Linked DNA regions of Arabidopsis thaliana. The protein of the gene in region 1 interacts with the protein of each later gene in a pairwise test. Each region holds a gene or a part of one and is shown on either strand. Other genes may lie near its edges.

Region 1 (5,127 bases):
CGAACGACGACGATAAATTGAGTTTTTTAGATTAGACTAAACCGATCGGTATAAGGGGTCGATGATGCGATTCGATTCGGTTTGGTATGATTCGGTTTGTCCTTTTTACGATGATGGGAATTAGGAATCGGATGCTTTTTCCTTTTCGTGTCTTCGTTTTCAGAATTTACTAATAAGAAAATTATCGTTTCTTGAATAGAAAAAACTATTATGTGTTTCGTTGTGTAATGAATTGAGATGTCTGGTTAAGACAAACAATACAAGGAGAAAGATACAGTCGTAATGTTTAAGGCCGGTTATTTCTGGTCCGGCAATTTGAATTTCCGGAATTTAATTGTAAAGTGAAAAACAGAAAAAAAAGAAAAAACAAAAAAAGGAAGGGCCCAACCGGGTTCGAACCGGTGACCTATTGATCTGCAGTCAATTGCTCTATCACTGAGCTATGGACCCAATTTGATATTGTTCACATTTTGTAAATCATATAGACTATATATCAAAAGTATTTCGTAGATCATTTTCAAGAGGAAGAAATATTCTTATAAATTTTAAAAGAATGAAATGTAGAAAGCTCATGGAAAAAAGAATTTTGTTTGAAAGGTCTCTAACAATTGAGAAATGCAAGCTTTTGGGATTTTCATACATCTGTAAACAAATTGCTGCGTCACATAGTTTTTGATTTTAATCTCTGCATATTTATGGAATTTTGTTTACATAAACTTTTGAAATGTCAAAATGGTCCCGAAACTATTGCTTTTATAGACAAAATATTGGATTTTTAATGCAAATGATTGTTATGACTTCTACATAAGTTGCTTTATATAATATAAGTTTGGTCCAATTAATGATTGAGAAGAACATGATTGATTCTCTTTGCATATATCATATCAAAGGTATCGGAACATTAAAATAAGACTCTATAATAACGTAAATCTTCATACGAAAAAACTTTAAATAAGGAATTTATTATACTCATTCCTTATATTAGCAAACAATATATATAAAACTAAAATAAAAACCAAGAGTAAGATAATTAAATTCTCAAAAGAAAATGATAGACGTTCACAACTAGTTCTTCTTCTTCTTCCAAGTTCCAAGACACCAACGTTAAAAGGCGTTTTTGTCCTAAGAACGAACCAACATTTCTTGTAGCTAAAAAAGGTTTGAGTAGTCAAATGAACCGGTTTGGTCATTTTCATAATTTGTCCAATAACCGGTTTGCATCGACTGATCAATGTCCTGGTCCACATTGAAATAACAAGAGCTCACCGGAAATTCCACGTGGTGGTTTGCCGTGGTGACCGGAAAATGGTAGTTGGGAAAGCACTCAGAAGCAACCTCCTTAATCTGAGGATAATCCTATATTTAAAATCACAAAACCAAAAACACATATCAGACCACTACTGTCTATACAAAAACTATTTTGGTTTAGATAATAGATGTAGGTACCTTTGACGAATCAAGGATGAAATCAGGAGAAATCCAAATGCTTGAAGAGTCGTTTGTAGTAGAAGAAGGCTTGAACGATTGAATCTGCGACGCTTCATCGCGACAAGGAGAGGTCGCGAGGCTAGAGTAACAAGAACCAATGTCTTGTTCGTTTTTATTTTTCAAACTTTTCGAATTTTTCTTCAGTTCATTCTTCTTAACTACGCGACATAACGCAAAAGCTCCCTAAAATTCAAACATATATATGGTTTTTAGGCTTCGTTCCATTAGTTCATAAAAATGAATATTATGAAGTTGGATCAAATGAAACGAACTCTAATTTTCTTACCTTGAAATTTGGTGATTTTTGTGAATGATCATCAATATCGCATAGACGATATTCATGCATAAACCAATTAGTTCTGTCGCCTAATGGGGCACGACCTTCATAGAAAACTAAGGTTTTTCGGTATCCAGCTATAACATGCGATGATTTACAAGTGATTTTCCGGTCTTTACCAGTTGCTTTCCAATAACCCGCTTTTGTAGCCCTATTGGTTCGAGAACCGTTTGCATATTTTTTGTCTCTTGGACAGAAAAAGAACCATTCCAAATCTCTATTTGGAAGGAAAGATTTACCTAAAATTCAAAGATAAAATCAAACAAATTTAGTTTTATTTAAATATAAATTTATGGATAAAAATCTAATTGTTTTCCTTTTCAAATTACCTGGCAACTCCCAAGGATCAAATTTGTATAAGTCGATAACAGGAATGACTTCAAGCTCAATCTCGAGACCTTCTATTTTTCTACTCAAGTAGTAGCCTATGAGCTCTTCATCAGTTGGATGAAATCTAAATCCTGGAGGCAAACATGAACTCCCCATTTGCAAAATTCACACTTGTAGCTTGCGACACAAGAGAGTTGTCGAAAGCTAATATTTAACTAAATATCTATTGACTATTTGGAAAATCTAAAAATATAAACTTTTTTCGACATTCAATTTGTTTTTGAAAATAAGTTGCAACTCACTTTGATTGCATCCTTTTTGTGACAATATCATTGTCTGAAAGAGATTGTATGTTTACAAAAAAAAAAACGAATTATCCAAAATTCTCTTTTTAAAAATATATCTAACACCTAAGAAAAAAAATAGAAACAAACTTAAGGTACAATTCAGAAATAACGAAGAGCAGTTGGTGGAAGAGCTAATTGCTGCGGGTCAAAGAGTCTGACTGAGGAAAAGGGTTCTCTGACTTATTAGCTATACAAGACCAAAAAAAAAAAAAAGTTATTAGTGAGTATTGATTAGGAGAGTGATTAAGATCGGAGAGAAGAAGAGAAGGTTGGTAGAGTGTTGAATGGTTGTGGGGTGAATGATATTTATAGCACAAAGGTTGCGAAACTTTGTGAGGCAAATTTAATCATAGCTTAAAATATGTTGATGAATTTTTCTGTAGAATAAACAAACAGTATTATAATAGTCAGTGCCGTTAATATTCAGAAGAAAAAATAACTCGACACACCGAAAGCGGATAAAGACATTGCTTGTCTTAAGAGTTCCCAAAATTCAAAAAGAAAGTGGACCTACCTGGTCTCTAAAGTTAGACTTGTTCACACTTCACACATCAATGATTCAATAATACTATCACCTATAATTAATCAAAACTTATTTTTCTATTTTTTAATTTCATAAGACGTCGTTTCGTTTTGTAAAACGATATGTTTATAGGTGTGTTGGCAAATTAGTCACTTTTGAAAACATAATTATGGAGTTGGGCAAGTTACTATTTACACTTGACAAAACATGTAACTCACTTTGGGCGTGTAATAGACGAGCGTGAAATAGAAGTTTGGGGTGGGGTAAGTGATGTGTTTTGAAATTACCGAACTATCCTTTTGACAGAGAAGAAAGATAAAAGTGAAATATTCTTTTTTTTTTTATTTCTTTTTAATAACCCCTCCAATTTAATAATTGAAATACTTATCAATATAAATTTATTTTCTAAACTAATTCATATACATAAAAATCTATGTATTTTTCTTTATAATTTGATATGCATTTTGTTAATATTTTTAATATATTACAGACATTTTATCAGTAGTCGGTACACTTAATTATGTGTACAGACTTTATTTTGTACGTTGCATTAGCTGTACAGAGTATATAATTGTATGGAGTATACAATTATCAGTAGTCACTTTTCACTGTTGATTCGTACACTTAGACCTGTACAATATTTTTAGTGTATATATATATATATAAATATACACAACGTACACTTACATCTGTACACTAAAAAATGTTGTACAGATCTAAGTGTACGAATCAAACAGTTAAAAGTGACTACTTTGCAAATTGTGAATAGTAAAATGACTATTTTTCCAATTATGGCTGGACGATTTCAATTTGTACTTATTAAATAAGTTGTATAAATAAAAATCTGTACACATAATTAACTGTACTGACTACTAATAAAAATGTTTATATAATATATTTAAAATTATTAACAAAATGCATATCAAATTATAGAGAAAAAATATAGATTTTTATGTATCTGAATTAATTTAGAAAATAAATTTACATTGATAAGCATTTCAATTATTAGATTGAAGAGGTTATTAAAAAATAAATAAATATATATATATATATATATATATATATATATATATATATATATATATATAAAGAAATACAAAGAATGTGAGTATGAGGAGAGAGAAATGTTGAATCTAAAAGCACAAATCCCAATTGCTTTCAACGACATTGGAGAAGAAGAAGATTAGTGGCATATTTGTAAATAATAGAGTTGGTATGGGGTATATTTGATTTTGTCTGTAATAGGGTCAAAGGTTAGTGACTAAAAATCCAATTATAAATAGTAATTTGCCCAATTCCATAATTAAGTTTAAATATCTGACTACTTTACAACTTAACCCTATGTTTATTTGCATGTCATTCTTGTATATCGGATTAGTAAACCTTGGTTAACCAAAAAGAGAGAGATATATTTTACATTTCTCTAATGTTTTTTCTAGCTCGTTTCTTTGATATAAGTATGTAACGGGAGTTTTAGTTCTAGGTCATAGAAACTCGGTCCTAGCTAATTCTTTTATTTTTCCTTTCGTTCAATATTCTAAACTTTTTCTTGACTATTTTGAAGGGGGTGTAACAATGTTCCTCCACGTCAGTATGAGTAAGACAAAACTGCTTTTTATTAGAGTAACCACTTTCAACTTTTAAGACATTAGAAGAGATAACAAAACTTTGAAGAAAATTTTGTTTATTGTCTTCTTTTTACCGGAAATATGTTATTGTTTAAGATGTAAAGTTGTAGTTTAAAGTTTAGTTCCCATTTGTGTAAGACCCGATAGCTGAAATATTCAAGAGGAAAAGAAAATAAAAAAATATTGGGAAAACGAATGACTTCACGAGATGGAAATGTATAAGGTTAATAAGTTCTATATACCAAAAAGTGCACCTTATAATTATACGATACTTTAGGAACGGTCACCATGACCCCTAACACTGATTAAAGAGAGACAAAAGAACAAAAATGAAGAAAAAGGCCTAAAGCGTGAATAACTACGTCATATGGTAGGAAAAGAAGAAGTTAGCCTATGAAATACGAATAACGGATCTTCTATGTTGACTATACTGAGCCCTAATTTTATATATCAAAAAGTACCATATACGTTTGA
Region 2 (4,442 bases), on another chromosome or scaffold:
TTCCTCTTCCTTAAACTTTCATAGAACAATTGAAATAAATACAGTAATCAAATAAAAATATAAGGTTTTTATTATGAATCAAGGAAAAATGGAAAGTGAACTTGGGTTCTTGGTTTCTGTTGTGATCATATGTGCAGACATTACAGCTACAGTCCTCGGGATCGAAGCCGAGATTGCTCAAAGCAAGGTTCTGTTTTATATTAAGAGTGAAATGTAGTTTATTTTATTTTAACTACCAATAATCTTTTCTTGTATTTGATGTTTATCCTTCAGGCACCTCATCATCATCATCAACAACATTCAAGACATTCAGGTTCTGGATGTCGAAGAAGCCCCAGCGATGGAGCATTTGCTGAGGGAGTAGCTGCAATGGTGCTTCTGTTTATTGTCCATGTCCTAGCTAATGTGCTTGGAGGCTGCACTTACATTCGCTCTAAGCAAGATTTCAAAAGAGCAACGGCGAACAAGATACTCGCTGTGGCTTTCCTTGTTCTCTCCTGGTAATGGAAAAGATAATAGGTTTTTGGATTTCATTCAAAAGACAAATTTGAATTATGTCAGCTGTTTTTGTTTTTGACATACCTTTGTTTGTCTTAGGATCTTTTTTGTTGTCAGCTACTCAACGCTAATGATAGGAACATTAGCCAACTCGAGAACGAATCGACTCTGCAGCTTGCCACATCGTTGGTTTTTTCTTATTGGAGGCATATTTTGTCTAGGACATGGAGTGGTGACTTCAGCATATTATGTTTCAGCAATTGCTGCTAAAAAAGAAGACAAAGAGAATGCGCAACAAGAAAATCTAGCAAATAGAAGCCGCGCATAACACGTCTTCTTCATCAAGATACACAAAATGTTTCATCTGTAAATAAACTTAAATTGCTTCAAAAAAGCTTCCTTCCATTTTGATAAATCCGCAATATTCCAAAATAAACTCTTTCAAGAATCAATAGAAAACTAAAATATAATATAAAAAAGCCAAGAGTTCTAAACAAAAGAGGCAGAACCAAAAAAACAAAAACCATAAATATATCTAAGCGTTTGATCCAAATGCTTCAGATATCTTTGATAGCACTTCAAAAAGAAAACCATGCTTCTGCAAAAAGAACTCAAATTCCCTAGCCTGCATCGCTTTCCACTGCTCGTAAAATCTCTTCATATCCTTTGAGGCAAGCTTACTCAATCCTTGTTGAGCAGTAAGTTCATCCATGCCAAGACCCACTATCGATCTAACAAGAGAAGACTTTGTAAAAGAGACTTCTCCTTCATCCATCACCTCATCTTCACAGTTGTTTTTACTGTTGGGCAAAGAAGAATCAAGTTCATGCTTCACAGACTCAAACTTACTACTCTTCTTCGACTTCTCATTAGATTTCATACCAGATGCAAGAGCCATTCTAATACCTCCCCAAACTAACTTAGACAATTCAAAAGCCTTGCGATCATGAGGTTTGACGAAAGTAGGTTCAACACCATCCTTGGCTTTACCAAGATTGTTCTCATACTTCTTCTTTAAAGCCCTAAGCTTTTCCATAAGCTGATTCTTACTAACATCAAAACTAATAGATTTTTTCACCAACTCATAAACCTTATTCGTATTACTTACCCCTGTATCTTTTTTGTCATCAATCAGACCTTGTAAAACCACAATCTCATCATCTTCAGTCCAAAGTCGCTGGAAATAAGTTTTCTTCGTCTCTTCTCCTCCGCCACCACTCTTCTTCTTCTCCTCTTCCCCTGAAACCTTCTTAGCCCTCTTCACATCCATAGACACTGCTGCTTCATCCACTTCAAGAGAACGTTTAGCCCCAGATTTCTCGGAGGTTTTCACCTTCTTAGCCCTCTTCACATCCACAGGATTCGTCACAACTTGATCTTTCTTCTTCTCGAGTTCAGAGTCTGAATCGGTTTCTTCATCCGAACCAGATTCGGAATCGGAAACGGCGTCGAGAGTCGTCTTCAAAGGTGATGGGTTTTCAGAGGAAACGTCATCTTCATCATCCGAAGAAGAGTTTCGTGCGATTTCTTTACCTTCTTCGTCGCTTGAAGAAGCACTCGGCGGATCTTCTAACGGATTGAAACGTCTCGACATTGTTTTAGGGTTTATGGGACTTTGGAGAGACTTAAGAGGTTGAAATTGAGATTTTTGCTTTGCTGCCTTCACCACTTCGTTCTTAGGGTTTATATATATTGAACAAAGTGTCTCTCTGTTTTCCAAAAATAAATAATCAAAAAATTATTGGAAAACGTATAAAATTATTTATTGTTTTTCCTCTTTTTTTGCATGACGTTTAGATTTCCGATTTCCTTCCTTAAAAATTTGGAAATTAGCTATATTGACCAATTTTATTTCCCTATATTTTATCTCTTACAAATAAATGTTAGATCTCTCTTTTCACAACAACACCCGAATATGACCGCTCATTCAATCGTCGCACACGTTGATAGCGTCCTTCCCAAGAAATCTCGTGAGATCGACCGTCGCCGCCGCAGACGGAAGCGGAAGAAGAAGAACAAAGCATCTCAGGCCGATGTAGATGCAATGGACGTGTCAAAATCTCTGTCAAGCACTCCTACTGGTATTGAGACACCGGATGCAATTGAACTTCGTAAGGAACAGAGAAAGGAACCTGATAGGGCTCTATACCAGGTACTTGAAGAAAAGGGAGAGAGTGTTGTTGCTCCTGGAACATTGCTGAGAACTACACACACATACGTTATTAAGACTGGTACTCAGGACAAGACGGGAACCAAAAGGGTTGATTTGCTGAGAGGGCAAAAGACAGATAGAGTGGATTTCAGTTTACAGCCAGAAGAGCTGGATGCTATGGGAAATGTTTTACAGTATGAGGAGGCAAGAGAAGAGGAGAAATAGCGCAATAAGCCAGTGGACTTGAGTGACATGGTCGTCGAGCATGTGTAGCAGAATAGTAGGAAGAGGAAAATGCATGGCAAGGAAGAGAAGAAAAAGAAAGATTTCAACTTCTGAGGTGCGTTATGGAAGAGACAAAAAAAAAAAGATTTTAGATTCTGGACATGAGACATAGAAAGAGATTCATGTTCCAGAATTATTAGTCTTGAGTAAGAGATCTTGAGTTTTTAGTCTTAATGCTTATTAAAAAAAAAAAAAAATGTTAGACCACCAATGATGTAAATTTTTAAATAGGTGATTGCATCATTGTGTAAACCTAATATTTACATTTTGAAGGATTTGGTCTTTCTGCAGTATGTAAGTTAATTCAATCCCCTTATTATTCTGACTTGTAAGGGGATTCAAACCCCATCAATGGTTTCTAAACTTAAGTTTCTTATTTTAGAGAGATAAGTTTTATTATAAAAAAATGTGTGGGTTTTTTGATTAATGAAGAAACCATCTCCAAAATACTTTATATAAGAAATTTTGGAGAGAATTTCTAAATATTTAAGAAACCCACATAATTAAATAATATTATTTTTGTTGTTTTAATGTTAAGAAACTTATATTTAGAAACCACCAATGAAATTCCTCTAAACATTAACATTGCATATAGTCATAAAAAAAATATCTATTTTCTTTTTGGTTCTCTTTTTAATATAGCTTTCTTGGTCAACACTTATTCTTAAATATCTTAGAAATTAATAAATTATTTCGTAACTCGTTGAAAGATAACTGGCCACACTTTTTGTGTATGACTCAGACATAGTTTTTGTCCACTCGGTCCCATCATGCAAGTAGATAAACACTGAATCACCAAATCTTGTTTGAGATTTAGAAAAAAAGGAAGCTCCAAGAGATGGCAAGAGTTGTTAAAATCGATTCTGCAGAGTCATGGAATTTCTATGTGAGTCAAGCCAAGAATCAGAATTGTCCCGTAAGTCTCTCTTCCTCTTATCACTTTCGTTTTCTAGTAGCCAAAATGAAATCTGATTTAGATCCAAGACCTATGAAAGAATCAAGATCTTAGGATTAGAGTTTTATGGAGAATTTGATTTACAATTGGTTAAATCCAAATTGTGTTACTCTTTAAGATATGAAGTTAGTGAGAATGAACCATGAATATTAATGTTCAGGATTGTGAATGAATGGCTCTGTCTTGTTTGTTTATATGAATTACCAAGAACGGTTGTTCCTTTATGGTTTTTTGCAGATTGTGGCTCATTTCACTGCATTATGGTGTATTCCTTCTGTGTTTATGAACTCCTTCTTCGAAGAGCTTGCGTTTAACTATAAGGATGCTCTGTTTCTAATAGTTGATGTTGATGAAGTTAAGGTAAAACTACTTATGTGTCTCTCTACTTGATATGTCTTTCTACTTTGGCTTCTTTGTTGAAGAGAAGTGTTTAACCATCAAGAGTAAAAGATTTAAACAGTTGCTAAATTGGTAGATGATTAATGGTTTTTCTTTGTTTTTTACTATGTTGGATTGGTCAGGAAGTGGCAAGTCAACTAGAGGTAAAGGCGA
Region 3 (4,263 bases), on another chromosome or scaffold:
TCCCTTTTAACACCATATTTTCCTTTTTAACCATCGGTTTCATTCTTTCTTTCTCTTTCTTTCCTTAAATGACATATATAAATTTATTCCATTTCTCTCTTCTATACAAACGTTAGCGTATGTTTATATTAGGAGGTGTAAATTGTGAAAACTTAAAAGACCACTCTCACTTCCTTCACTTAGATTTTACCCTTCTCCTCTTAGTTGGTACTAGTCCCACAGTCACAACAGAATATGTATATATATACATGTAACATCTGTAATAGTATGTTCATATATATAATATATATATGCAAGTTGGTGTGAACAAACAATAATCATCTGTTCCTGCATATGCTCATTACATTTCTATTTAATTCGATCATTAATACTTTGATAGTCCATTTTCCTGTTTACCAAGAGAAATAATGAAAAAATATATTTATCACTGTTCAGTATTTGTTTCCAGATACAGTTTTATTGATTTATAAAATTTCGAAGCCAACTAGTTAGAAAAGTAATTTTTGAAGTTCCTACTATTTCCAAACATATAAAACACAATGATTATATACTGTCTTTCATGTGCCAACCACTGATACAGCAATATATGTAAAAATGTTAATTTAGATTGGAGCTTATAGTAAACATTGATTACGTTACGGCTATTTACAAGTAAAACCCAAATACCCAACTATAGGCTTCTTTTATTTGTCACCACCCAATTATAGGCTATATACATCAGTTATCAAGATTTCAGTTAGGTTATATATAATTTATACTTATTTCTTCTTATTCTTAAATTGCATCGTAAGATTATGATAATTCGTCTCTAATTTCTCTTACGGTTATTAGGAGTTCACATGGAATACCAGACTAATTTTCATCAACGATAATATTTTTTTATTTTTTTTTTTGCCTACCAATTATTTAGTGTTAATTTAAGTTTGTCATCACCAAGACACTCCAATCACCAGACCTTTTCAAAATTATTACGGCAACTCCAATCAAAAATCTTTCGAATAGGCATAAATATTGAAAACCAAATCGTGAGAAAGTTACATCATTCGTAAGAAAAAGAAACAATCAAAATATTTTAATTGTCTTATGAATTAGAGCAAAGACTATACGTGTTGACTTTATCCATAAGATAAATATATTACTATATCAAAGCCAACACTACAGAACCTACTCACTTTTCACTCTTGAGATTAGAGACAGTTTAACTTCTTCTTTTTGGCAATCACATTAACTATTATTACTTTTTAATTACTTAAGCTAGTTAACCTTAGGCGGATCAGCTCCTAGCCTTAGCTCAAGATCCAACTCCTCATGATGGCCGTTGATCTCGGAAATTCCAATGACCAACCCTAACATCATTGGAAATCTTGACACATCCGTCTTTGCCCTCTTCCATGACGAAGATGATCCGTTGATTAGTTGCTTCTTCCGAGGATCAAACTCAGTACTCAGTAGACCGACCGATAAGTCAGTCTTGACTTCACCATTGTCATGTTCATATCTTTTCATAGAACTTTCTAAAACGTTGTTATTACAAACATCACTTATCTCCCTCTTGGTTCCGTTAGGCTTTCTTGTTTCTTCTTGAACAAGAACCTTTGATCCCACATCAAGAACTTGTTGTTGACGATCACATTCAGGAGGTGTGGCTTGGTCAGTTGATGAAGGTGATAATGATTGTTGTTTGAGTCGAGCTCGGTCTCTTCGATGAACGTTCATATGACCGCCTAGTGCTTGCGCCGACTTGAACTCTCTCCCGCAAAAGCTGCATGAGTAAGACCTCGGTGGCCACATGCAACCACCTCCGCCGCCATACTCCTCAGCTGACGCAAACGCTCTCTCTTCCCTAAACGGCCAAAATAAAGTCCCATCCGAAGATGGCCTCGTCACCATCGGTCTAAGCTTCATCGACATCAAGCATTCTCCTCTATCCATCATATGTAAGATTTTTCTATGCAGTAGAAGAAGTTAAGGTGAGTGTTTTTTTTGTGTTTATTTATGTGGGAGTAGTGAAGTATGTAGATTTAGACGCACGTAGACTTATATAAAGAGAGACGCATATAGATAGAGGTATGTGTGTGTGTGTGTGTATATGACTATATGGTTAAAGCATTGAATGTGAGAAAGCAACGTGGAGAACCATGAGTAAATAGGGAGAGGCTTTGATGGGGAAAGTTCTCTTTTACTTTAGTTACTCGTATGTCTTCACTCTATACATGTTAAATGTTTAGATATTAATAATTAGTTGGTGTGAGCTTTTGATTTGATAATAGTTAAATTAATGCCAGACGCAACTTAAGTTTTCCACGAGTCTACAAAATTAATAAGTCAGAGTCGATATTTTCTAATAACACGTAGCTAATAATATGACAAAAACTATGGTTTAATTTGAAATCTTTATAACAATTTTATGGAGTCTAAAATATACACCATATATCATCGGAATCATCGGATGTATGTGGCTGTGAGGTACAGGGGCCCAACAATTGATTTATGATTAATTATATTGATTTAGCTAATTAGACAATGGAGCCGTGGGATACTGACAATAATTTATCGTGTGATTTATTTACAATTATTATACGGATGAAAAGTAGAGATATTTGCCTGGAATTTAGATTATTTTTATCAAGACGTTAATTGAAGGACTCATATGTCAAGAGATTCTTTCTACCTATCATTGTCGCCATATTACGGGTTTTAAGACAGTACGAGAGAAATAAACAAAACGAGATTGGAGTACAAACTACAAAATATCCAAACCAAAGTGACTTAATTAGAACGCAAAAATATATTTTTTGATTATTATACGAAGAATGTGATAAACCGCTAAAACATGAACTTCGTTTTCGTAATTTTGTTGAGATTGTTGCATCAATTTTTTTATTATTTTTTTGGTGTCGTAACAAGACGCCAAGACCTTTTCAATAATTGAAGACATTATCACATCATTTCTCGGATAGAAGAAAAACCCACTTACATAAGAGGCTTTTGGGCTTGCAATGGTTTACGATTCAGATGGGCCATTGGGCTCCTAAGAAACTTTTAGACTTTGATATTGGATTTATATAGATATTTCAAGCCCAACAATAACTAAGAAAGATCCAAGAATTCCCAAGATCAAAATAATTTAGAAAATTGAATATTTTTGTAATATATAGATTACATGTTTATTATACATAGATTAATTGTTCAAAATGATGAAATATCTTTTATGATAAATTATATGATCTTAATAATTAAGAAAATTAAATATATTTTGTTTTTTATGACGGAAAGACAGTTCATAGTTATACTATATACCAATTTAATTCTCTTTATTAATTTATAATAGCATTTTATATAGTATAATATTACATTAATTAGAATTTAACCGAATGGTACACAATCAATTTTACAGAGACCCCTCAAATGAAAAACTAAAGACATTGTTTTAGAAATCCAACTTTAATTGGAGGGTTAAGATATGCTTAATCCTTACCAAATTGCATATGATAAATAACGCGAATGTAAATAACAAGACTGATATACAAAACATAAATCAGATTTATCATAACAACAAAACCATGCTCCACAACTATTATATATAGATCCATCGTTTTTAGTTCGCGTCGAATTTTGTTGTGCTTAGTAATAATAATCCATGTTCTGGAGCCATTGATGATTCACGAGCATTTCCTCTGAGTTCGTGAAGAACCCATCATAGCAGTTTCTTCCGTCGGCATTGTTCAAAACACTCTCGTCGACGAAATTGGTCGTGGCCATAGTCATCTGATTCACAAACTCCGGTATGTTGTTAAGTTGTGATCCGTTTTGATTAGAGTATGAAAAATTCTTCATCTGTGACCCGAGAAACTCAATCTCTTCTTGCAAAGTCACAACCTAAAAAAATAAACCCACCAAGCAACGTGATCAGACTGCTTGAAATGGTCTAAAATCTCAACAAGAATAAAAGAATATCGTTCAAAACTTTAAGAGACCTGTTGATGAAGAGCGAAGATGTGAGCAACGCAGCCATAAACAGGATCACGCATGCGAGAGAGAGCCTCGTAGGAGATGGTGATAGCAGCGATGTTTCTTTGATGTTGAGGCAAATGAAGCAAATGTTTAGAGACATTACTTGCGCCGAAGACTTTGTGAACCGCTGCGAAATGGGAAGAGGCTTGTTCGTAGCTGAAGTAAGGCGAGAAGACGCAGTCGCGGTTGCATTTCCTCCTTAGAAACTTGCATGCTCCACAAGATGATCCATGACTTGCCATTTTTTCT

The links. Proteins that work in one complex are often made in the same cells at the same time.
Region 2: the proteins of NAC071 (region 1) and AT1G11510 interact in a two-hybrid assay, tested with the Arabidopsis thaliana proteins (one large-scale study listed by BioGRID).
Region 3: the proteins of NAC071 (region 1) and RBE interact in a two-hybrid assay, tested with the Arabidopsis thaliana proteins (one large-scale study listed by BioGRID).

Annotation. Positions count from the first base shown.
Region 1 is NC_003075.7:9,977,728-9,982,854, forward strand, and holds NAC071 (NAC domain containing protein 71), read right to left. Parts: upstream 2,829-5,127; 5' UTR 2,312-2,828; coding exon 2,155-2,311; intron 2,065-2,154; coding exon 1,775-2,064; intron 1,672-1,774; coding exon 1,447-1,671; intron 1,357-1,446; coding exon 1,150-1,356; coding exon of another isoform or gene 1,123-1,149; 3' UTR 976-1,122; downstream 1-975. UniProt on the Arabidopsis thaliana protein: Transcription factor involved in tissue reunion of wounded inflorescence stems. Required for the division of pith cells in the reunion process, which is dependent on polar-transported auxin and the wound-inducible hormones ethylene and jasmonate.
Region 2 is NC_003070.9:3,870,745-3,875,186, forward strand, and holds AT1G11510 (DNA-binding storekeeper protein-related transcriptional regulator), read right to left. Parts: upstream 2,186-4,442; 5' UTR 2,093-2,185; coding exon 1,034-2,092; 3' UTR 979-1,033; downstream 1-978. Other genes in the region: AT1G11500 (transmembrane protein, putative (DUF1218)), read left to right, coding at 74-187, 274-500, 598-826; AT1G11520 (pliceosome associated protein-like protein), read left to right, coding at 2,285-2,875; CXXS1 (C-terminal cysteine residue is changed to a serine 1), read left to right, coding at 3,774-3,851, 4,128-4,250, 4,412-4,442.
Region 3 is NC_003076.8:1,827,172-1,831,434, forward strand, and holds RBE (C2H2 and C2HC zinc fingers superfamily protein), read right to left. Parts: upstream 2,016-4,263; 5' UTR 1,936-2,015; coding exon 1,255-1,935; 3' UTR 979-1,254; downstream 1-978. Other genes in the region: LBD33 (LOB domain-containing protein 33), read right to left, coding at 3,625-3,879, 3,978-4,256. UniProt on the Arabidopsis thaliana protein: Probable transcriptional regulator essential for petal development. Required for the early development of the organ primordia of the second whorl. Acts downstream of AP1 and PTL.